Caenorhabditis elegans: one gene and its partners. The gene in region 2 interacts genetically with the main gene of each other region. Each region holds a gene or a part of one and is shown on either strand. Other genes may lie near its edges.

What was found.
Region 1: of rsks-1 (region 2) and let-363, changing one suppresses a phenotype caused by changing the other (phenotypic suppression), as found in Caenorhabditis elegans (one study listed by BioGRID).
Region 3: of rsks-1 (region 2) and ifg-1, changing one enhances a phenotype caused by changing the other (phenotypic enhancement), as found in Caenorhabditis elegans (one study listed by BioGRID).

What each region holds. Positions count from the first base shown.
Region 1 is NC_003279.8:5,242,795-5,249,376, reverse strand, and holds the start of let-363 (Target of rapamycin homolog), read right to left. Parts: upstream 3,635-6,582; 5' UTR 3,597-3,634; coding exon 3,474-3,596; intron 3,419-3,473; coding exon 3,318-3,418; intron 3,265-3,317; coding exon 2,970-3,264; intron 2,926-2,969; coding exon 2,596-2,925; intron 2,547-2,595; coding exon 2,335-2,546; intron 2,291-2,334; coding exon 2,230-2,290; intron 2,180-2,229; coding exon 2,007-2,179; intron 1,868-2,006; coding exon 1,754-1,867; intron 1,708-1,753; coding exon 1,410-1,707; intron 803-1,409; coding exon 689-802; intron 640-688; coding exon 462-639; intron 26-461; coding exon 1-25. Other genes in the region: mrpl-47 (Large ribosomal subunit protein uL29m), read right to left, coding at 4,085-4,301, 4,350-4,471, 4,515-4,620, 4,671-4,835, 4,890-4,984. UniProt on the Caenorhabditis elegans protein: Serine/threonine-protein kinase that regulates the mRNA translation machinery, probably by modulating the activity of translation factors such as eIF-4G and eIF-2. It may have some protein kinase activity instead of lipid kinase activity.
Region 2 is NC_003281.10:11,242,124-11,251,795, reverse strand, and holds the start of rsks-1 (Ribosomal protein S6 kinase beta), read right to left. Parts: upstream 6,677-9,672; 5' UTR 6,486-6,676; coding exon 6,421-6,485; intron 5,442-6,420; coding exon 5,378-5,441; intron 4,946-5,377; coding exon 4,787-4,945; intron 3,779-4,786; coding exon 2,742-3,778; intron 1,701-2,741; coding exon 1,373-1,700; 3' UTR 1,357-1,372; intron 705-1,356; 3' UTR 1-704.
Region 3 is NC_003280.10:8,214,375-8,222,376, reverse strand, and holds ifg-1 (MIF4G domain-containing protein), read right to left. Parts: upstream 5,124-8,002; coding exon 5,075-5,123; intron 5,033-5,074; coding exon 4,939-5,032; intron 4,895-4,938; coding exon 4,778-4,894; intron 4,633-4,777; coding exon 3,540-4,632; intron 3,486-3,539; coding exon 3,282-3,485; intron 3,231-3,281; coding exon 2,264-3,230; intron 2,211-2,263; coding exon 1,640-2,210; intron 1,594-1,639; coding exon 1,368-1,593; intron 1,297-1,367; coding exon 1,135-1,296; downstream 1-1,134. Other genes in the region: M110.3 (E3 ubiquitin-protein ligase MARCHF5), read left to right, coding at 5,951-6,073, 6,319-6,395, 6,448-6,603, 6,865-7,005, 7,508-7,580; M110.10 (Small integral membrane protein 15), read left to right, coding at 7,910-8,002.

The sequences.
Region 1 (6,582 bases), on a different chromosome or scaffold from region 2:
ATTACTTGCATTCTGACACGGACATCTGAAATAAATTAAAAACATTTTTGAATATTTGATCAGGAGCACAATTTTGCGCCATTAGTACTGTACCCGGTCTCGACACGACAATTGTTTTAATAGAAAAAGGTATGCGCCTTTAAGGAGTACTGTAATTTCAAACTTTTGTTGCTACGGAATTTTCATTAAAATTTTCCGACTTTTTTCCAGAAAATCATAGGGAAATTGTCATTTTTTGAGAATCGAGAAAAATTGAGAGATGTTCGGACGAGACAATAAAAAAATAGATTTTTCGAAAAATGATGAATCCAAAATATTGAGATGACTAGAAGAATTATTGAAAATTCAATTTTTTTCGTTTATCGATTTTCGAAAAAAATAAAACTTTAAAATTACAGTGCTATTTAAAGGCGGTTAATTCTCGTTTCGACCAGTTACCGTAGTTTCGAGTAAATACCTACCTTGATCATTAACAATAACCGAACAAACAGCTCGCAGCACACCATAAATAGTTTGAAGAAGACTATTTCTCTTGTCACTTGTAACTTTTTTATAAACTCCAACAAATGGTACGACCATTTCACAACACGAAGAGACAGCAGCCAAACGGATTTCCACATTGTCCGCTGTCAAGTAGTACTGAAAAACCACAAAATTACAGAAAAATCGAGAAAACTTTCGAACGTACATCTGCAACGTATTGCATGATTCTCTGCAAGGCACCTCTTGAGAAATAGAATTCACCGAGCACATCGACAGCCAGCACGATTCGTTGAAGCTCTTTTGGATCGGTTTCTGCTTTCTGAAATATAAATCTTTTGCATAAATACAACCCCAAAACTCTCATTTGAGATTTTTTGAATTTACTTCTTTGCACAACAGAAATATCGCCAATGAGAAATATATTTAAAACCATTGTTAATGCTAACATGATAAAATATCATAGGAAATCTGTTCGAAAAATTTAAATTTTAAAAAGTCGCCATTTCTATTTTCTTATTTTGCTGATTATGAAAATATTTGAAAACCCCGCAAAGTTTAGGTTTTTTTTTCGATTTTTCGGCTTTTAAATTTACGATTTCTGGAAACAAAAATCAAAAATTTCGAAAAATTTCTGGTCATTTCTCTATTTTTCAAAAGATAATTTCGATAAATTTATAGCTTCTCTGTCTTTTGTTTTTCGAACATATCTGAAAAAAGCGAAAAATCATACAAATTTTTAACGACGCCCTTGGTTCGAATATAGAAAAATGTCGAAACTTTGACGGAAAATTATTTCAAAAAAGATAAAATTGTAAGCGTTTTTAAATCTGATGGGATTCTGATCTTTATTTAAAAAATGTTATGTGCTTTTCAGATTCAAAAAAATTACTTCGAGCAAAATTATAAAATTTCTCTACGAAACAAACCTGCAAAATAGCTTTAGGACTCGCAGGCCTTCCAATCGGTTCGGATTTTGGTGGAATTAGAGATCCAGTGAGTGTTTGATAGACAGAAGCCATAACACCATCTTGAACATTCAGCCGCAGTTTCGGAATTCTCATCATAATCATTTTTAGCACGTTTGCCAGCGATCGAGACAGGGTAATATCCATTAATTGTGGAATTATTGCCTTGATTTGTGTCGTCACTTGTTCGTGATAAGCATCCACAAATAGGAACAGGAATGTGAAATAATTATCGAGAACATCAGAATTCGTCGTTTTTCTACAAAATTTAACTATTAAAAAAAGTGTACTAATTTCAAATTTACTTGATAGCAGCAGAGATAAAACTGATTGTTTTCTCGATATGTGTGGCATGTACATCTGGATTCGAGAGCATCATCATTCCGATTGCTGGAGCAGCGACCGCATTTCTTTGAAGACTGAAAAAATTGAACATTATTGGAAATTTTGAATCACCATAATTTTTTTTGAGTCTCGTTACAAAATTCGTTTTTAGCGCATTTCGAGTCTATAAAAGCTAAAAGCCCATAAACATCAGTCCTCTTCCATTCTACGTACATAGTAAATGAAGTGTCGAATGAGATTGTTTGAAAAGTTCGATCACATTGTGGAAATGCACAAATTCTTGGTAGAAGCTGCATGAGAACTGTATTCAGGTAAATCGAGCTTTGCTGTTTCGTGGATGAAGTTTTGTTTGCGAGAGGTATTATCTGACGAACACAATCGAGTATCTGGAAAAAAACATAACAAATTTCGGGAAATGAAGAATTTCAGCTTTTACCTTCGGAAATCGTTCCAAAACCAGCTTTCGAGCAGTCACACTTTCCACAATAGTTTGTTGCCTTAAAAATACAAGTTTTTAAATAGATGAAAAAGAATCGATTACTTAGTTAGGACAAGCCATTCAACACCTTCTTCTTCGTCTTCTTTCAAAAACTTTTGTTTAATAAACTGTGAGGATTCACATCTGATGAGTTCGAATCGTTGATCAGAAATTCGAAGAAGTTCATTGAGAATCAGGGCGACGGCATGCCATCTATCCAAATCGTCCTTTTGCGATGGGTTTGGTTGACCTTCCAGTGCTTCATCGAAACATTTCTGGAATATAAAATCATTCTAACGAAAGATCAAAATTTTAATTGATCACCTTAAACCACTCAGTTTTATTCTTTGCTTCACGCTGTGAAACAATTGTCAAAACCACGTGTAATGCATCAATTCCGGCGATTCTTACAGCTGGATTCTTGTCTCTGACAGCGTTGAAGATATACTTGAAAAATAAGTTTACACGAAGAAAGAATGCTGTCGGTGTGGCCAGTGCGAGCTCACGAGAGAGGTGTGAAGCGGCGAGTCGACGAATTTGATCAATTTCCTGTTGATTTTTGGGTTGCTGACTATGTGGAACATTTTGACCAAGCCATTCGTGGCAATGATCAAGACAACGATCAACCAGCTCGGCCGCGTATGATTTACAAGTCTGCAAATGTTTAAAATTGGTTTAAAAAAAATTAAATTACTTACCGCAATCAGAAAAGCGAGAGCTTTTGAAGCCATCTTGACTGTATCTTCATCTAATCCATTTCCATTATTTAACATTTTCAGAAGATAATTCGCATATCGAATAACATTTCCAGAATGAGTTTCAGCTAAGCACACGATGAGATAGATACCGGCTCGTTTCTGATCGATATTTGAATTCGACTTCATACAATTATAAATTGCACTCTGAGAGGCTATATCTGTTCGTCCATCGATTGCATTCAGGAAAGCATCACTAAAAGTATTTGGCTCGTCTTTCAGCTCACTTCGAACATATCTGAGGAAAATAATATATTTAATTTATTGACTTTTATTTAAAAAAAAAACTACCTGCTGAGTTCTCGAGCAGCCTGTCGTTGATTTGCATCTCTATTTTCCGTAATTCGGCTCCGATATTGTGAAGCAAGAGCTCTTGCAGCATCAATCCCTTGCTGAAATATGATTTTTTTTTCCTTAAAAATTGTTTAAAGGAGAAGAAATACTAACTTTACGATGCCGCTCGTCAAATTCATTTGTAGCTGGAGCGGAGACTATTCGATTGGAAGTTGTGGCTGCTTTGTTCTGTCTATCGGCATTCATTTGAAAACTAATTCCGTGTTGTTGGAGCATTTTTCAAAGATGTTTCTGCCGATTTAGTGCATTGTGGGCTTAAAATTACGTTAAGAATAAAAAGTTATGAGAATGATCAGAAGCATAGAAAATCACTGGTTTTTTTCCGAAAATAAAATTATTTCCAGCTGAAATAATCAAGAAAGTGCTCAAAACTGGCCGTTTTCAGAAAAATATAGCTTGATAGTTCGATAATAGACAACTTTCAGGTAATTTTTTACCACTTTTTAAATTTTTTTCAGCTAAAAATTAGGTTTTTTTTCCTATGTAAATCAAGGGATTTTCAATGAAAAATATGAGAACAACACGGAGCCTTTTGTAATATCAGATAACTATGGGCTGACAAAACCCGTTGCATATTTCAAAATATCAAGAAAAAAGAACAATGGATATTCTTTGAAAAACTAAATAAACTGAGGAAGGAAGCAAAGCAAACAACATTTTTAAAAGCCTACTCGAAAACAAAAAAAATATCTAGAAACAACTTTTTATCGATTGAAAACTCGTGGAGCTCCTCTCTTGAATCTGTCCATGTCTTCTGTTCGTGCCGCTCGTCTCTTCTCATCATCCAATCTATCTCGATTTTTCATGAATTCTTTTTCCTGCCAAAGCTTCTGCATCACGTAGGCATCGTCGTCGAGATATGGAGTTTCGTATTCTTTCTGGCCGAGTTGAGGTGGTGCAAAGTGTTCTGTGGCTTGTTTTCTGGAACATATTTTTATTTTAAAAAAATTAATTTTATCAGGAACTCACTGATATGTAAATCCAGCGAATGAAGTGATTGTTCTCTTGCGTGGAGCCGCGGATTCTCCAGTTTCCAAACGGAAGACCGCATCATTTCGCTCGTGAACTACTGATTCTATACGATCCATTGTCTGAAATATATCATTTTGCATTTATTAAATTTTTAAAATATACCTCATGAACACGATCAAGTCTCTCTGGGTTTGGCATGTTCCGGGCACGTGAAGTGTGCGCTTTTTTCATCGTTATCAGCATATTTCGCTCCTTCAAGCACACATACCTTAAATTTAAATTTTTAATAAATTTAAAACCGAATTGCCATTAAATTACCAAAGCTTATGCAAATCTGAATTGCTTTTTAATCTCAGTTCTTCTGCTGTCCACGATCTGCCCGGCCGATGTTTCGGGCGGAGCTCTGCTTTTCCAAAATTCGCTTCATCATCGAAAAATTGTTTCATTGTACTGGAAAATCGTGTGTTGACGGCATTTTGTGATCTAAAAGAAGCAAAAATTAACTGGAATTCAACAAACTTCGATTTATCAACTAACCGAACAGCCGAAGACACCAAACTCGGTAAACTACGCCACATTGTAGATTTGAAGAACCTCAAAGAATGAAAATTGGTAAAATCAAAATTTTGCATATATAAAGAGCAAAATATTCAATAAAAACAAAAGAAAACATTAAAAAATAGAATATTTTGGAGAAAACCTTGCTGCCAAAAAATAATAAATGGGCGGCAAGTGCGCTCCACCGCACAATTGCCTCCCCCATAGCAGAGGTAATTCAAAAAATAGTTTTTTCTAGATAAAATTTCAATAGCAAGTTTTAATACTTTTAACATGGGTTTTCAGTAAAACATTGAATTAACTTCAAGTAATTATTTCTTGAAAAAATTCTTCGACAAAAAAGTTCATTTTAAGTCAGATATTAATTTTTGAAATTATGAAAACTTAGTTAATCTCCCAATAAATAAATGCGGTCATTTATATGCCTGGAGGTCAGTTTTTTTGATTAAACTGGAAGCTTCTGGCACCTAGAAAAATTTTGTTATTAAATTTTGAAAGCGCTTAAAATTTGAAACAAGTCCCCGAAGAAACATTTTCAAAAAAGTTCAATTTAAGTCAGATATTAATTTTTGAAATTACGAAAACTAAATAAATCTCCCAATAAAAAATGCGGTCATTTATATGCCTGGAGGTCAGTTTTTTTGATTAAACTGGAAGCTTGTAGCACCTAGAAAAATTATATTATTAAATTCTGGAAGCGCTTAAAATTTGAAGAAATCCGAAAAGTTCTAGAATTTTCTAAAAAGTTCTGGGAATTTTTTAAAGAAAAACCTGGAAAGTTGTAGAATTTTCTTGAAAGTCCGCAAAACTCCAGGAGAATGTATAACTGTACAAAAATGCTACATTAGCACTTTAAAATTCATTAAAACAATTTAGCGTACGCCAGTCGGAGCACGCGCTTTGCGTGTGCGAACGGCTGGTATATATAAAAGTGTGTGAACAAGATATTCCATCGTCGAATCGTACATTTTGAAATGCCAATAGTTTTTTTTTTGAACAATATTATCATTAAGAGGTCGTGTTGTGTCAGGTGTCGTCTTTCAATCTTGAAGTAATGTCCGAAACATTTTGCTCATTGCGGTTGTAACCCCTTCCTGTGTCTTGTCTCTGTGTCTCTGAAGATTGTACATCGCACTAATGCTCACTGAGCACCACAAAATGAATTGAAAAGATAGGGAAAGTGTTCTGGAGGAGACAGGAAGATAAAGAAGACAATTTCATTTCGTTTCTTATACTCCCTCACCTTTAGTTCAATTCTTCTTATATCACTTTATCACATTGAAAACTGAGTTTTCTTTTATTAAAGATGGTATAGTGGGGAAAATGCTAAAATTACTTTAATAATCCTCAAATTGTCAAATGTCATAAAATATTTTTGAGCGTAATCTGAAATATGTTTATTTACCACCATAAAGTGGATATTACTTAGTTTTCATCGGTCATAGTTTTGAGAGTCGACCAGGAAAACCATTTTTTCTGCAGGTTTAAAATATTAATGATGTTTTCATTATTCGTATCAGGAGGTGCAAAAGCTTGAAAGCTTTACTTTTTACTTGACGTGCTAGAAAATGATTGAAGATTTTTGCTTGAAATCCAACTCAAGCAAAAATAATGCCACAAATATCCGGTTTGCCGTTATTTCATTCTTTTTTCTAGAAAGTTTCTTGAAGTT
Region 2 (9,672 bases):
TTGTGAATTTCACGGAAAATCCTAAAAAAATTTAAAGAAAAACTTGTAATTTTTACCCCAAAATTTCAGATTAATTTGAAAAAATTTCTGGAGATATTTTTTCAGAAAAATTGTTTTTAAAAAGCTGAAATTAAGATTTTTTCAAAATTTCGAGTTTTGAGTCAATTTTTCCCGGCAAAAAAGCAAATTTCAAATTTTTTTGAAAATTCCAAAATGCAAATGCGCTCTATCGAAAAAAAGGGGAGCTAACAGGGAAAATTACACGAAAAAGACAAAAAAAAACGAGTAAAGAACGAAAAAAAAGTGAGCGCATAAAAGAGAAAAAAGAATCCCAAACATGAAAACAAGCCAGAGATTAAAGTACCTCCGTATTTATTCGACCCCCCTGCCGAGACTCAATTTTAGGGGTAAAAAGTGCCAAAATTATCAATTTTTTTCGAAATTTTCACATGAAATTGGTCCCCGCGGGAGGTCCACACAGATCGTAATCTCTGGTGGGATGATGAAGCGCCTTTTAAAAAAATCGGCATTAAGAGTGTAAAGTTAATAAAAAAAATAACGAACGAACGAAAAATGGATACAAGAAATTCGAAAATTTGTGTGAAAATTTTCAGAAAAAGTGGAAGAACAACGACACGTTAAGGAGAAGAAGCATGAATGAATATTGAGCATTTTGTGTAGAGGTGTGTGTGTGTGGCAATTTTCTGAAAAAAAAAACTTGTATTACATTTTTCGTGTTGTGAAATTTAATGTGAAAATAAATTTCTAGTAAATAACTTTACTTTTTTCAATTTCCATTAAAAAATAATTTCCAAAAAAAAGTGGAAATTCTCCGCTTTTTTCGGTTTTTTTAAATCGAATTTTTACAATTTTTTTGAAAAATTAATTTTTACAATTTATTACACATTTTTCTCAAAAATTGAATTTTTTCGGCTTAAAATCGGCAATTCTCACTGATTTCACCCTTTTTTGCATGTTTTTTCTTAAAAAAAATTTACACCTTTTGTATCAATTTTTTTAAAGCAATTTTCATTCCAAAAAGTCATTTCTCAATATTTTTCTACACAAAAATAATGGAATTTCCACAAAAAACTGTGTTTTCATGGGTAGGAAAAAAAAAACAATTTCCACGCTATATTTGTAATTTTTCCGCGCGAAAATTTCAATTTTTAGATCAAAATTTATGCAAAGTTGAGAATTGAATCAGTTTCTGTACAAATTATGAATTTTCGCAGCTTTTTCCATGGAAAAAAGGTGAATTTTGGTGAAAAAATTGATTTTCACAATTGTTTCGTGGAATTTTTACGAAAACTCCAATTTTTGTAAGTTTTTCGGGGAAATTTGAATTTTCCGCACCTTTCCGCCCACACATTTACATCACCCTTTTCGGCAATGGAATAGGTGTTGACGCAGAACTTCCAACATTTGATGGTCTTGTCGTCGTAGTAGATCCATTTCCAGTAGTAGTTTCACGACTTTCACTAGCACGTGGTGTAGATGTATCCATTGCATCATCTTCTGGATATCCACCACTAAATGATTGATATGGCTGTTGAATTCCTGCTCCTCCAGCAGTAGTAGTAGTCATTTGACTACCAATTCCGTATCCAAAAGCCTGTGGGGCTTCACTATTTGGTCCGTGACCGAACAAATTCGAGTGACCACCGTGAAGAATGCTCGCCGTTTCTGGGTCTCCTGGCCTGAAAAAAAATTCCAAATTTTTGGGATTTTTCATATACTTGGAGAAATTTTAAATTTAAGAAAAATTGCATAAAAAAGGCTTTTTTAAATTTTTTTCGGGATTTTTTTTAGTAAATTGGCAATTCAAAAAATTATTGCTAAAAACTGATCTTTTTTTCAAATTTTAAAGAAAATTTTCGGTAAATTTATAGTAATTTTTCTTTAATTGGACTTTCTCTACCGGGCTTGGAATTATTTTTTATTGTACTTTTTTTTTTTGGAGATTGTTAATTTCTTAAATATATTTTCAGATTTTTTGAAGCAGTTTTTTGAAAAAAGTCAATTTTTCTTTTCTTTTTTTTCGACAATTTCCTATAAATTCCAATTTTTCGGAATTTTCTTCAAAAAATTCCAATTTTTTCACAATTTCCTCAAAAGATTCCATTTTTCCTTTTTTTTTGTTGGAATTTTCCATAATTTTAGGGAAATTTCTGAAAGTCTGATACTGATACATTTCCTTAAATTTGCTTTTTTGGAGCTTTAAGAAATTTCCCAAAAAAATGCGGAAATTAAATTTTAAAGAAAATTTTCTCTAAGAATTCGAAGTTTTCAGATTTTTTTGGTAAATTATTCTTTTTTTTTTTTAATCCAATTTTTCTGATTTTATGAGAATTTCTTCGAAAAAATTCAATTTTTAGATTTTTTCGTTGGTAATTCATTTATTTGGAAAAAAAAAACCTTTTTTTTTGCGATTTCTTTAGAAAAAATCCGATTTTTTCAGATTTTCTTAGCATTTCTCGGATAAAAATTCCAATTTTTATGGCGATTTCTTGAATAAAAAATTCCAATTTTCCTTTTTCGGCATTTTCTTCGAAAAATGCCTATTTTTCTGTTCTTTTTTTCATAATTTTTTTGAAATTTTTTTTTGGCAATTTTTTCTAAAAAATACCAATTTAACAGTTTTTAAAGCAAATTTTCTAAGTTTTTCAGTTTTTTTTTTTCGGCGATTTTTTCTAAAAATTCGAATTTTTTCGCAAAAATTTCCCACAAATTCCACGCACTTTCTCGGGCTCTTCGCAGCACCAGCTCTCGACATAGACGAAGCCAAATGTGCCACCGAAATTCCACCATGTCCTCCCTTATTCATCATTTCCAACACAGACGGTGCGACATAGGTGAATCCCACAAACGGATTATCACCATTCAAACTGAAATTCGTCTCACACGGCGAATCGACCGGCGTCATTTTTGTGAAACGCGCGTCAAACAGCGACGTATCCTCGTCGTTCTCTATATTCGGCTTGAATGGGGCTTCAAGCTGCCGTGCGTAGACCAGGTTCCAGTCCGTAGTCTTGAAAAACGCATGACTTTTGATCTCTTCCGCGTCACTGAGACCCGCGCCGAGCCGGGTATCCACATGGCGTTTCAAAAGCTTCTTGATCAAATCTCGAGCCTCATTCGACAAATAGGCCGGCAGAGTAAGCCGTCCCTTCAGGATTTTGTCAATCGTTTTTCGGCGATTTTCAGCGGTAAACGGTGGTCCACCAGTGAGCATGTCAAACATCAGAGCTCCGAGGCTCCACCAATCAACAGCTTTTCCATGTCCACAACGCATCAGAATCTCCGGTGCCATGTATTCGATAGTTCCACAGAATGTGTGAGTCTTCTGATCTCCCTCGATTTCCTCCTTACAAAGACCAAAATCTGTGAGCTTAACGTGTCCATAGGCGTCTAAAAGGATATTCTCTGGCTTCAAATCTCGATAGATGATTCCTTGCTGATGAAGATGCTCCAGAGAGACGACGATTTCCGAGAGATAGAACTTTGCGACGTTCTCCATGAACATTCCTTCTCGCTCCAAATGCATGAATAATTCGCCGCCAGATAGATATTCAAGGATTAAATACAGTTTTCCACCGGTTTGAAATGCGTACAATAAATCACAAATAAACGGAGACTTGACTGCTTCAAGAATGTTTCGTTCGGCTTTCGTGTGAGCTGTATCCTTTTGATTTCTGACAATTGTCGCTTTTTGGAGCACTTTCATCGCGAAGATTTGGCCATTGTCGGAGCCCGTCGTTTTTCGCACTTGGAATACCTGGAATTTGTTGAAAAATTTATAGAATTGTACTAAGAAAATAAGTGTTTTTTTTCAGAAGGTTTTCAGGTGGGTTTTGTATTAAAATTCAATTTTTTCGATTTTATTTTCGTTTTTGCTCAAAAATTTGAAATTTACAACATTTTGTTTTTTAAGGCGATTTTTCTGTTAATTTTTGCAAAAAATTGAAAACTTTCACTTTTTTTGTAGGAATTGGATTTTTTACGATTTTGGAAATTTTTTAATGAAATTTATAAAATTGTAATTACGAAAAAAGTTTTTTTTTTCAATTTTTTGAATTCATTTTTTCGGAGTTTTTTTTTGAAAATTGATGTTTTTTCCCCCGCTTTTTAATGGTAATTTTCGTTTTTCGCATAATTTAAAAGGTTTTTTCAGGGTTTAGGTGGATTTTTTTTTTGGAAATTCAGAATTTTCACATTTTTCGGGCGATTTTGACCATATTTAATATTCTGTCGCACATTTTTTTTGGGAAAAATTGAAGTTTACAGAATTTAAATTTTTTAGGCGAAATTGATTTTTTTTCTGTTGCGATTTTGGGCTTTTTTTGAGTGAAAAATTGAAATTGACATTTTTCCAGGTTTTCCAGAGAAAAGAAAAAAGAAATTTGTAGAATTTTTAATCAAAAAAGGAAGTCAGAGGTTTTAATATCAAAATTGTAATTTTTAGTAATTTCTAGTAAGATTTTTATTTTTTTTAATGTACTTTCTGTGGAAATTATTTTACAGGGTTTTGCAGCAAAATTGTAATTTTTTCGCATTTAAGCTGATTTTTGGAGTTTTTCTACAGGTTTTTATCGAAAATTCAACGTTTCTCATGGTTTTCTCTGTAGAAGTTTCGCAAAAAAGTCCAAATCTGAGTTTTTGCTAATTTTTTTAAAATTTTTTATTTATTCAGCATTTTTAGTGCTAAAAATGGATTTTTTCAGTTTTTTAGTAACTTTATTACAATTTTTAATTTTTTTCTTGAGAAAAACGACAATTTTCGAACCTTTCCATATCCTCCCTTGCCAAGAACTTTCAAAAGCTGAAAATCTTCGGGTCCAACACGAACATTTGGTGGATTAATTGCACTGGCACACAGTTGAATCGATTCCATCATCGGATCCTCCATATACGATGAGCTCGGCGGTGGAGCAGAAATTTGTCCCTGGAAAAATGAGAAAAAAAATTAAAATTTGAGCATAGCTTCCGCATCTCCAGTGGTAAATGTGCTCTATTGGCAAATTGTTGGCCGGAATACGGTATTTATTGCATTTTCAGCCGAGAATACCAGAATTCCAGTCGACAATAAGGATAAAGGCACAGAAACCACAGAAATATAATTTTAAACTATTTTTCGGCAAATTTCAGCGTTTCAGCAACGTTGAAATTGTCAGAAGCCGGCAAAATAGTGAGAAATGGTGAAATTTCACAATTTTTTAGTTTTGAGGTAATAAGCTGGGAAAGTGGCAAAAATTTTGCATTTTCGGGGCGAATTTCAGCGTTTTTGACCGTCAAAAACGGCAAAAATCGTGAATTTTCTTAATATTCGCATGGGAAATAGATTTTTTTAGCTCTCAAACTTGTCAAAAAACCATACATCAGCAACATTGCTGTACATGTGATCGTCCTCCATGATTTCCGTGCAGTTGTCATAGTGATATCTGAAATAAAAATTAAAAACATTTTTTTCTAAGTTTTCAGCCATTTTTCGCTTTTAACACACAGTTTTGAAGAAAAAAACGCTTTCTTTTAGATTTTTTTTTCCAAAAAAAAATTGATGGAAAATTGCGAATTTTCCAATTTTTAAAATTATTCAAGTCAAAATCCGCACAGTTTTCGAATAAAATTGATAAAATTTGAAAAACCCGAATTTTCTGTATTTCGCTTATTTTTCCGCAAATTTTTGAAAAATTCACCAAAAAAATCCACTTTCTAGTCTAAAAAATGTCAATTTTCTGTAGTTTCCTCTCTGTTATCACCTGATTAATGACACAAAGCACTGATCATTGGTGCAATCGGAAAATTGAAAAAAAATGAATTTTTTAAATTAGAAAATGATTTTTAAGATAAAAAATTTTACTGTAAATTTTTTTGAAAAATTGTGGAATGTTCGGAAATTCCGAAAATTATGAAAAAATTTTTTTTGTTAAAGTTAGCATATTTCAGCTCAGAAAACAGTTTTTGACAGTCGAAAATGTCATTTTTCAATCTAAAATTCCAGAAAATCACAATTTTAGTTGGAAAAAATCGAAATTTTCACCAGTTTTCTACAATAATTGTAGAAAATTTGAAAATGCAATTATTTTCTCCAAAAAACTGCAGATTTCGAATTTGTCGGAAAAATCTGAATTTTTTCAAAAAACCGAAAAATTTTGTGGAATATTCGAAATTTTAGCATTTTTTCGATAACAAAAACCTGAAAACCAGTGCAAATTTTAAATTTTTCGTGAAAACACCTTTAAAGTTTTTAACAAGTTTTTACAGAAACTTCAATTTTTATCAATTTTATTATAACTGTACAGATTTTGACTTTATAATACGAAAAATCTGCAATTTTTCATCAATTTTCGCAGAAAATTTAAAGCAAAAAACCGATTTTCCCCACAATTTGTATGTTTTTACCCAAAAAAAAAAACTCACGCATGACGCTGTGGCGATGCCTGTGACTCGTGGCCTTCCAGCTCGAACTCGAACACGTCAGCCATCGTTTTTTTTTCGTGTTTTTGTGGATTTTTTATCACAAAAAAAATTAATTAGGTACTATTATAGATATTTGTATTTTTTGTAATTAATAAGGAAAAAAGCAGTGATAATTTGGAGCAGCACGGAGTGGTGTGTGTTTCCAAAGAGATCAGCCCATCCAAATGTGTACAATATATAAATTGGTTCGTATAACCTGCAAGAAGGTAAAAAATTATTAAGATAATGGGAATATCGATTGATTTTTGTGAAAAAGATAGAGAGATACAGAGATACGATAATTAATAATAGAAATAAACGCACAAAAAAAACACATTTTTCTGTCGATTTCTGGGAATTTTTAAATTTTTGATTTTTTTTTCGTGCATTTTGAAATGTGGAAAATTATATTTAATTTGCAATTAAAAGAAAAATCCTCCTTTTAAATCGATTTTTTTTTTGAAATTTCAGGTTTTTTTTAAATGACAATTAAAAGAAAAAAAAGAGTCTAAAATGGAAATTATTGTATATATTAAAAGTCAATTTTTAAATATAAAATTTATAAAATAATGAATTTTTTCCGAAACAAAAAAACAAGAAAATTCGTAATTTTTTCCGTTTTTCACTGAAAAATTGACTTTTTTCAGTTTCAAAGCACACAAATCGTGGCAAAAACGAGAAAAAACTGTCTCCATTATCACTTTTCAATCAATTTTTTGGCGATAAGAAACTATAAGAAGCCTAAAAGATTTGATTTCGTCGTTGCGAAATTCCAAAGTGTTCTGGTATTTTCTCAAACAACAAAAAAAAGTGTTTTTCGACCCCTCTCCCGGGAGATCAGGTGTTTTTTATGTCATCATTTGTTCAGAAAATAATGATCACATGGGGAATTTGCGGTAATATTTCGTCACTTTTAATAAAAAAATATCAATAATAAATAATTTAAAGTTAAATTAAAACTAGAACATTTATTTTTAGAAGCAATCATTTCAATTTTCAAAACAAAAAAAAATCGATTTTTTTTTTGAAAAATCCCGAAAATTTCCAGTTTTAGCGGAAAAAAATAAGATTTTTATCGCTTTTTTTCTGAAAAATACCAAAAATTTCGGATTTTCCGTTTTTCGATTAACAAATCCGAGAAATCGGAGTTTTTCAGAGCATTTTCTTGATAATTTCACTTTTAACAAATTTTAGAAAAATTATTTCATGTCATTAAAAAAAAAACTCAAAAATCCGTTAAATTTAAACAAAATTGTTATTAAAAATTCGGTTTTTACACCAAAAACGGAATTTTCCTGTATTTTTCAGAGAAAATGTATTTTTTGTTCACTAAAAACGGAAATTTACCGAATTTATTGGTATTTTTTCGAGAAAAAGTCGTCAAATTAAAGATATGACAGGAGAAAAAGAATTTTTTTTTTTCGATATTTTCAAATTTCGCAAAAGAATTTTAAAAGTCAACTATTTAAAATACTCTTATAATTTTAAACCGAAAAGTTTATTTTTTGAAAAAAAGTTTGTTTTAAATTTTTAACTTAAATTGGTCGAAAATCCCCCCACCAGAAAAAAAATTCCAAAAAAAAAAGTTCAAATCAATCGATAGTGCTGATTTGACACAAAGCGTGGAAAGGTGGTCTGGTGTAAGCGAAGAGAAACCTGCGGACGGACACTGGGGAGGTGACACATACACAAGAAATAGTACGTCAATCGACAGAGTGCACCAGAGAACGATCAACCTAACCAGAGAGATGAGAGAGAGAGAAAGAGACATAGAAACGTCCCTTCAACCAAAAAAGTGAGAGAGAGAGAGAAGAGACACAGAGCAAGCGCATCCGTCTCTTTAAATTTGATGGTGTCTATATTGTATTGGGGAGCGTCTTTCTCTCGTTTTTCACTCCCCCCACCCGCGGTTTGCAACAATTCAGAGAGAATTACAAATTCACGCTTTTTCGCATGGTTCGAATTATCAAATTTCGATTGAAATTTTTGAAAAACTTTGGGTTTTCTTTTAAAAATTGCGAGAAAACGAGAAAAATCATCCGATTTGCACTGGAAATTGCCGAATTGCACGGGAAAATTGCCGAATTGCACGGGAAAATTGCCGAATTACACTGGAAAATTGCCGAATTGCACTGGAAAATTGCCGAATTGCAATGGAAAATTTCCGAATTGCACTGGAAAATTGCCAAATTGCACGGGAAAATTGCCGAATTGCACTGGAAAATTGCCAAATTGCACGGGAAAATTGCCGAATTGCACTGGAAATTGCCGAATTGCACGGGAAAATTGCCGAATTACACTGGAAAATTGCCGAATTGCACTGGAAAATTGCCGAATTGCAATGGAAAATTTCCGAATTGCACTGGAAAATTGCCAAATTGCACGGGAAAATTGCCGAATTGCACTGGAAAATTGCCAAATTGCACGGGAAAATTGCCGAATTGCACTGGAAAATTGCCAAATTGCACGGGAAAATTGCCGAATTGCACTGGAAAATTGCCGAATTACACTGGAAAATTGCCGAAATGCAGTGGAAAATTACCGAATTGCACGGGAAAATTGGTGAATTGCACGGGAAAATTCGAGCTTTGCTTGCCGATTTCAAAAAACACGAAAACAAAATACTACCGTACACCCGGTCGTGTCAAGACCAGGGACAGTGATTTTGTCGGTGTTAAAATCGGTTTCTCGGCGGTTTTGAGTCATTTTACAGCTTCAAAAGCCCGTAAAAACGCGAAATTTAGAATAAAGACAAAAACGAGCGAAATTTGCAATGAACAAATTCTCTTCCGGAGTCATCTAGTGAGCCTTCACCTGCTCGCCGAACAGCCGCTCCGGCTAATCAGTGGCTGCAAACCGGGCTTGTCGAAAAAAAGAGAACTTTGCAAAGTGTAAAAAGACCAAACTTTTTATAGGTCACTTGTCGCTGTATCAATTGTTATCGAGCGATCAATAAGCAATTTCAGAAATTGAAAGTTTTTGGCAAAAACTTGGCAAACTCGACAGAAGCCGATGAAAAACCAATTAAGAATAAGCAATTTTGCCGTAAAATGCTTCTTTTCTTGCATTTCCTCCAATTTGCCGGTTTTTTTGGAAATACTAAGCAATCGGTTGGGCAAGCCAATGAAAACCTTAGTTTTCGCCGATTTTCGATGAATTTTCCAGAGGAAAATTATTAACTTCCAAGTTGTCTACCACAAAAAATCGCAAATT
Region 3 (8,002 bases), on a different chromosome or scaffold from region 2:
TTCAAAATCGAGTCAACGTAAAACTGTGAGCATTTGATGAGAAAACAGAGCAAGCTATATAAATGGGGAACAACCCCAACAAGAACTATGATGAAAAAAAAAAAAAACAATTTTGATGCCCATTTTTATTTGTGGTGGAGGTGGTGATGATGATAATAACGGAAGGACAATTAGTTAAAACAGGAAAAACGTAGAATTCAAGGAAGTGGAAAATTTAAGATGGGCTGATGAGAGGATATTAAAATTAACCAATTGTCACAATTTCTAGAAGATCCAGGAATCAGACCGAAGGCACTGACTTACACACAATTAGGAAATTTGGAAAAGAAATGAAGCTAAGAGCTAGTCAAAAGTCTTCGTTTTACGATAAATTCGATGCAATTCAACGAAATTCCAGCACTCCGAAAAAATTCAGCGACTTTTCGACCGTCTCTTAGAAAAGACCCTTTAAGCACGAAAACAAGCATAGCAAGAAATGTTCTCGGGACCAACTGGTATGGAAATATGAAGGGAGAAACCAATAAAAAACCAACAGCTAATTTAGAAACAATAAACAAGGAGACTATGAAAGGGTTATTCAAATAGAAAAACGAATGAAAGAAATGGGAACTGGGAGCAAATAAACGAAACGGGAATCCAAATGAGGATATAAATATTTAATGATTTGGAGGAAAACGTGATATTTTTAGTGATCATCAGAAGAAAAGGGTAAGGTGGGTGGGAAAGGGGCTATAACGAGTTGATTTCTGCGTCTCGAAACGAAAAATGAAGAGAATCTTCACGTTTCGAGACGAGTTGTAGAATGAGCGGAAGTTTGCAGGAAAAATGATCTGAATGTCTGAAAATTGATTTACTTCAGCTAAATCATGATAATCAGTTATTCATTTTGAAACTTTTCTTGCAAACCTCTAACAAAAGAAAAACAAGCAATAATATCGAAAACCATTAATGGGATACCCAATAAGACATAAAATCGGTAGGGATGGACGCGCGGCGAAAAAACGAAAAACTTGACATGTTTAGACCGTATTATCAACAACTCGTTCTTATATAGATAATTAAAATGGGTTTTAGCACACAAAAAAGTTCTCTATAAATCTACTGTGGAGTTTGAAAATCCAAAAATACGATAAATTAGTTGCCCGTCAAATAGCTCGACAACGTTTTTCCATTTTTAAACGTCACTGCTTCCATTTCTGCTGAAAGTCCTTCTTCCATCTCAGTCTTTAACTTCATGTCCGAAAACTCCCACGAGATTCCTTCTGCAGCGCCAGTCACTTCAAGCTCAAGCTCGATCTGAAAAAAATTAAATTAAAAAAATAAACGCAATGTACTGAATCTGAGCACTAAAATTTGCAATAACTCACCAATTGCTTCAAAACTTGAACAAGAAGGTCAAATTTCTTATTTCCTTCTCCTTTGGCAGCTGAGAAAATTGGCTTCATGTCCGCTAATGAGAAAGATTCAACTTCTCCAATTTCGTCATGTGGAGCATGACTTGTGTTCACGAGAACTTCACCAGTAACGGTCCACAATTTGGGATAATCTTGCTGGAGCTCAACATCATTAGCGAATTTGCAGAAACGGGTAGCTCTGAAATAATTTGTAAAGCTCAATAAATCATAAACTCTTGCCTTACCCCTCTATAAAAGCTTGCTTCTCAGTCTTGCTGACCAATGACATCCGCAGAGCAATAGCCAACTTCTTTCGATCATCATCCTTCAAACCTTTTTCGATCACAGCTCGGATAATCATCTCATAGACTACTGTCAATGACGGCGAACCGTATTTTTCTTTTCCAACATAATCGGTGATAGAGTCAACCAATTCCTTTTGGGAGAGCTCACCACTAGACATTTCTAGAAGATCGGATTTAACGGTATTCATAATCTTGGCTCTGACAGCTTTCTCTTCTTCAGTCAGCTCATCGTCGGTCTTGTCAGTATTCGAATTTTGTGATGTGGATCGCCGCGAAGAAATTGACATTGCACTGATTTCCTTTGCAGCAGCTAAAGCGGCCTGTTTCTCGTCAACAGTCGACTTTTTGCGTTGATCATTGGAATCACGTCGCCCCCAAGCTGATTTGACTGGAACGGCAGATTCGGAAGAAGTGTTTCCTCCACCAGAAGCACCAGAATGCCACTCTTTTTTGCTCTTCCCAAGAGTATTATTATCCATCGAAGAGAGCGAGATGTTTTTGGGTTGAACACCTGGAAATTGCAATTAATTAATATTGAAGAAATATTTGTCTGAAAATACTTACTCGATGAGGCAAGTTTTGTGTTAGCTGCAGCAGCGGCTCTTTTTTGTTCAGGGTGTTGCATTCCTCGGTTCCTATCCAATGAATTCCTGGAGACTGGAACTGATTTTCTGAGAGAGTTGCTGTTTGGTCTGACACCTCCATGACGACGATCACGATCCCGATCATATTGATCACGAGCTTTCTCATTTTCAATCTTCTCTTGACGAATATCTTTGTGAATTTCATCGATTTTTTTCGGTCCAGACTCGGTAGATTTTCTTGGAATCCATTTGTCTTTGCGAAGCTCCATAAGATTCATGATCATGAAACGGATTTTGTTTGAGCAGTAAGGTTTGGCAGCTTCCAACTTCTGGAACCATTGATCAAGGAATACGGTCGTGGAATCTTTTGATTTATCCAACATCACGCCTACAGTCTCGATGAGTTGAAGACCACAGTGAATAGATTCCTCGTCGACATCCTCTTTTTTAATATCTTGGTCCTTGATCGAATTGAACAATTCGAATGTACACGTTTGGACGATTTTTGTGGATAAAAGTTGATTTCTATACAGATAACCCATAAACGTCATAACTCCGAACTTTCTCCGTCTAAATTTCTGTTTCTCCTCTGCAAGCATCAATTCCTTTTTCACTGGATCTTCTTCTTTTTCGATGATTGCCAGTTTGTCTGCATCAATGTCTTTTTTATCCTGGAATGTCATCTGCGTCCGAGTCAAAACCTTATTTCTGAAGGCTGACTTTCCGCCGGTCTGGGATAGTTCATGATTCGCCTGAGCCTTACACATTTCAGCGTACAAAGCACAGAACTTTGGCTCTTCAACTGCCTTGTCAAAGACGATTTCGACAACTTGAGCGAGCTGCGCATCGTTGGAGGATACATTGTAGGAAATGAATTCTTCGGTGAGAGGACGTTGTGATGTAGGCGTCACCTTGTTCATAAGAGACCGAACCTTCTTACAAACTTCCTGAAATTTGGTTTAACAGTTTATAGTTTTGATTAATCACGAATAACTTACAATAACCGCAGCTTCCTCGCTTGCAACAGCTTCCGCGGTTTTTTGACGGTCTGGCTTCCATGCATCTTTCGATGATGGAAGTGTAACTCTCTGAACTCGTTCAATCGAAGGTCTAACAACTGGTGGTCGCTTGTTGTGCATACGATCTCTTTGCTGCTGACCGCCACGCCCGGTTCCATCTGTGGTTGTTCTTCCACGGTATGGCTGAAAATACAATATTGTTTGAATTATGGCTTTTATTAAATAATGATAACTTACAACCTGCTGGCGGTTTCCTCCTTTGTTTGCCCAGTTTGGTGTGAAATTAGGCTTCTTATTATCAGAAACTCGCATCGTTTTGATATCCAATCCGAAATCAGCTAGCTGAGCTGGTGACAGTGGACATGGGGTCCGAGAGAAAACTTTTTCAATTTCGCGAATAGTAACCATGAAATCTCTTCCAAAAGTTCCATCCGAGATGACAGCACTTCCGGCCAGGATAAGCTCCTCGATTCTTTTCTCTAAAGCTTCCTCGCGAAGTTTTTTCTTTTCAATCTCTTCGGCTTCTTTCTGTGCTTTTTCGATTTCCAGCTCCTCAGGAGTCTTTTCTGTAGAAGAGTCAGCAACGTCTGGCGTACTTTCTCTTTCATCATTCTCCTCAAATTTATCATCATCAGTTTCCTCTTTTGATTCTTCCTTTGTCAGTGTTGGAGTAACTCTGACATCAGCTACAGTAGATGCTGATTCTGCAGTTCCACTGGCGGGCGTAGTGGTGGTTGTGTCTGATGCATGGGGAGATGAAACAGGCGTCACAAGGGTTTCTGCTTGTTTTACTTCGTAATCAGCCTTTGCTGGTGCTTCTGGAGTTTTCGGAACGGACGGTACAACTTGTGGAGCTATGGATGCTGCTGGAGGTGTCTGTCCCAGGGCTGGCGGTGGTACGCTAAAATTGGGAAGTACAGCAGCTTGCACCGCAGCTGGGACCGCAGCTGGGACCGCAGGAGGATTATCATGTCGTCTGTCTTCATGATGTAGTTCATTTTTGACCTGATTCAAGAATTCTAAAGTAATGTTTTGTTTTTTCTTTTCTTCCTCTGGGGCAATCGGGGCTGCTGGAGCCGCTGGCGCTGGTGCAGCTGGTGCAAGATGAGGCGTCACTTCAATTGCCTTTTTCGTAGTTGGATCGACAATTTCCAGTGCTTTCCTTTGCCGTTTAGGTTCTTGTGGAGCTGTATGAGTCATCTGTTGTTGTGCTGGCTGAGCTGGTTGATATGGCATTTCTGGGTGGTATTGCTGAGGAGCTTGGTAGCCTTGGTACTGTTGATTGTACATCTGTGGTTGATGACCATAGTCCGGTCGCTGATATCCACCACTGAAAATGATATTCATGAAAAACTGGTAGGTAACAGAAGTAAGCGTTTGGGATACTCATATTTTTAAGAAAATTTATTTTTCAGTGTGAGTAAAATTTTGGAAATGATAAGCTAAATATATTTAATATTTAAAAAAAAACTTACTATTGTTGCTGGTGCTGTGGTGCTTGTGGCGGATAATAGTGATTTGTTTGTGGTTGGTTGTATTGTTGTTGGCCATATTGTGGATACGCCGACTGGTTCATTGGCATTCTTTGATAGCTGAAAAAGAACTTTAGCCATGGAAAATATTTTCAACTTCTTACTTTGAGTTCACTGGGCCAGATGTGTTAACAAATGGCATCACGAATTGTTGGGATGAATCCTGCATAGGAACTGCATTGTGATCTGAATGAAAACCTTGAAGGAATTAGAAAACTGACAAAAACCGTGAGCACTTACCTTGATTCGGCTTCCCTCTCCCAGGCCCCCTACTAACAGCGTTTGACATAATCTTTCAGTTTGAGGAAGTCACTGAAAAGAGTTTTAATAAAATAAAAAACGATAGAGAATAATTAGAGAAGGGGAAATTGAGGGAGGAGGAATAACGTTATTTTTCAAAATAAGAGCAGAGTGAAGGTAAAAGTGTTTTCTCTACAGATAGCAAGAACAGAAAAAGTGCAGAACGCAGCGTTTAGAATATCGATTATTTAAACTGGTGATGTCAACAATAAAAAATGACTGCACATCGTCTCCTTCATACTCAAGAGCAGAAGATGTGCATGTATCGACAGAATTTAAAGAACGTGCACACCGAGAGAAATTACATGGATCGATGAAAACTATAAAATACAATCGCATAGAAGTGGTTTTACGTTTAGTCCGTGTGAATCTGTAAGAACTTAACAAAAATTATGAGTAAATTCCAAAGATATCGCCAGTCAGAACAGAAAGTAAACAAAGTCTTAACCAATTTCGCAACCGGAAATCAATAAATTTCGAAATGCCTGATTTCAAAACATTGAAGAAATAAATATTGATCGAAATTTAAAATTTTGAACCTATGAAACAAAAATCAAGTTTAAAAAACAACAAAACGTTTGTTTTTTTCCGAAAAATCGATATAAATTTAGGCTGAGCCAAGAGACAATGGGTCTCGTAGCGACAAGTTGCCTGCCATAGTTCCAACTCGCGTAAATCGACACAACTCTCCTCTCTTTGCACGCTATTTCTCCCTCATCACATCGCTTTTCAAGTATCTACCAAAGAAATCCGGTTTCCTCTTTGGAAATCAGATTTTATATTAAAAAAAAACAAATAAACAAACCGTTACGGAAGATGGCGTTAGAAATCGACGGAAATGAGCAGGAAACCGAGAAATATTGTAAATTCTGCTTCGGAACGGAAAGTGATAATGCGTTAAGCTTCGTTCATCCGTGTCGATGTCGAGGATCTATTCACGTGAGATTTCATATTCGAAAAATGTTTTTTATGCTTATTGAATAGAAAAATTAAATTTATGAGTGTTAAATTAAAAAAGAGATACATGAATCAATATGCTTATCGAATCAAAATAAATATTGCGAAAATTGATATTAAAATTAACTAGGAAAGTTCAGGAACCTTGAAAAATTTTTGTTATAACCTTGAGAAACTGTTCGATTTTCGCGAATAATTCTAGTTTTTCACTCCAACTTTTTTTTCAGTGGGTTCATCATCAATGCCTGGCCATGTGGTTTTCGAAAGCGAATGCTGTACAACAAGTTATGTGTATTCAGTGCCAGTACGTTAATTAAAGTTTATTGAAGAAAATTTCTGAATATTCCAATTTCCAGAACACGATATCAAAAACAATTAACACTCAAATCATGGAAATCCTGGACAATTCCTCGCTTTGGAATCGATAAGTTTGGCTTGCTGGAAATTACTGTTGATTTATGGATAACATGGAGAACTGTATCCGGTTTCGTTGGAATGATGAACGGAACAAAGTAAGAATATCTGAAAAAAAAACTATCATGGGGTTTTACAAATTTGAACATTGTTTTATTTTTCTCCTCTCGTATTATTAGATGGGAATAGAAAATACAACTGTAACAAAATCCAGAAATGTTCATAAAATGAAACTGAAATAATTGATTAAATGAATTCGAAGTTTCCAAATATTTAAAATTATCTTTCTCCAATTCAAACAGCGAAATAGAATCAAACTTCTCGAAAATAACATCCATAAATCGTCGTAATTGTTTCAGGGGAATTTTCCGAGAGATAATTCTATGCACCATGTGGAAATGTTTTGTAGCATCTGGAAGGAGGTTTTGCTACTACGGAAATCTCGGACTAAGACTTGCTTCTTCGATTTTCCGAGTTAGTATTGATGACTATGAAGAAAGGTACGTATCCAATATTTATAGATTTGTTTCTCTTCGGTCACATTTTTGCTAGAGCCCAATTAAAAAATATATAATCATACCGTTTTGAGGTAAATTCAGGAAATTTCTGAACAGCTTAATATATTACGGGAACAATAAATCATGAGAATGTGTACTTAGTGCATTTTATTTGACGCGCTATATCTCTTAGCGAAAACTACAGTAAGAGCTTAAATATCTATTGTTATTTGAGTTCTTACTGTATTTTTCGCTAAGAGATATCGCGCGTCAAATAAAATGCACCAAGTACGCATTCTCATGATTTATTGTTCCCTTAATATGTAATTTCATAATTTAATTTTCTATATAAAATTGGCTACTATTAAATTCTACAAATTTTTAAACTACTGCTGTGATTGTGGCGAGACCCGCTCAGAAAAGTGACGTGTGCCTTTAAAGTTAATTGTCACAAAAAACGTATTTTACGAATATCTGTTTCATATTCAAATTGTGCCAATTTCAGACGAGAAATCAAGGCACGACTTCCAACCGATATGCACTGGGAAGAAATCAGCCAATCGTCTGTTCTCAACTAGTACAGTTCACTTGTCCTCCATACGGGTTGCTGAAGTGCTCAAGTGTCGCTCCTCCTCTTATTTGCTTTATCCTCCCAACAACTGACCTGGTTTTCCGTTTTCTTTCTCTCACACTCTTGTCTCTATCATCTCAGTGTTTTTTCTGTATTTTCTGTGATTTCAGCTTCGTTGTACCAATAAAACGACAAATTTGTACTTATCAATAAAGTTTTAATTTATAACTTCAGTATCCATTTTATGAATAGTAAAGACTTTTTCAGTGTAAAGACTCTGTCTACTTCATTTTAATTTTTCTTAAGTTACTTTTTTTTATCTCTCAATTTTTGTAGATGAATAATATACGAAATCAGTTTCAAAAGTTGTATTGGATGATTTTGGATCACCCATTCTATACGGTCGAATCGGTGTTGGCTCTTACAATT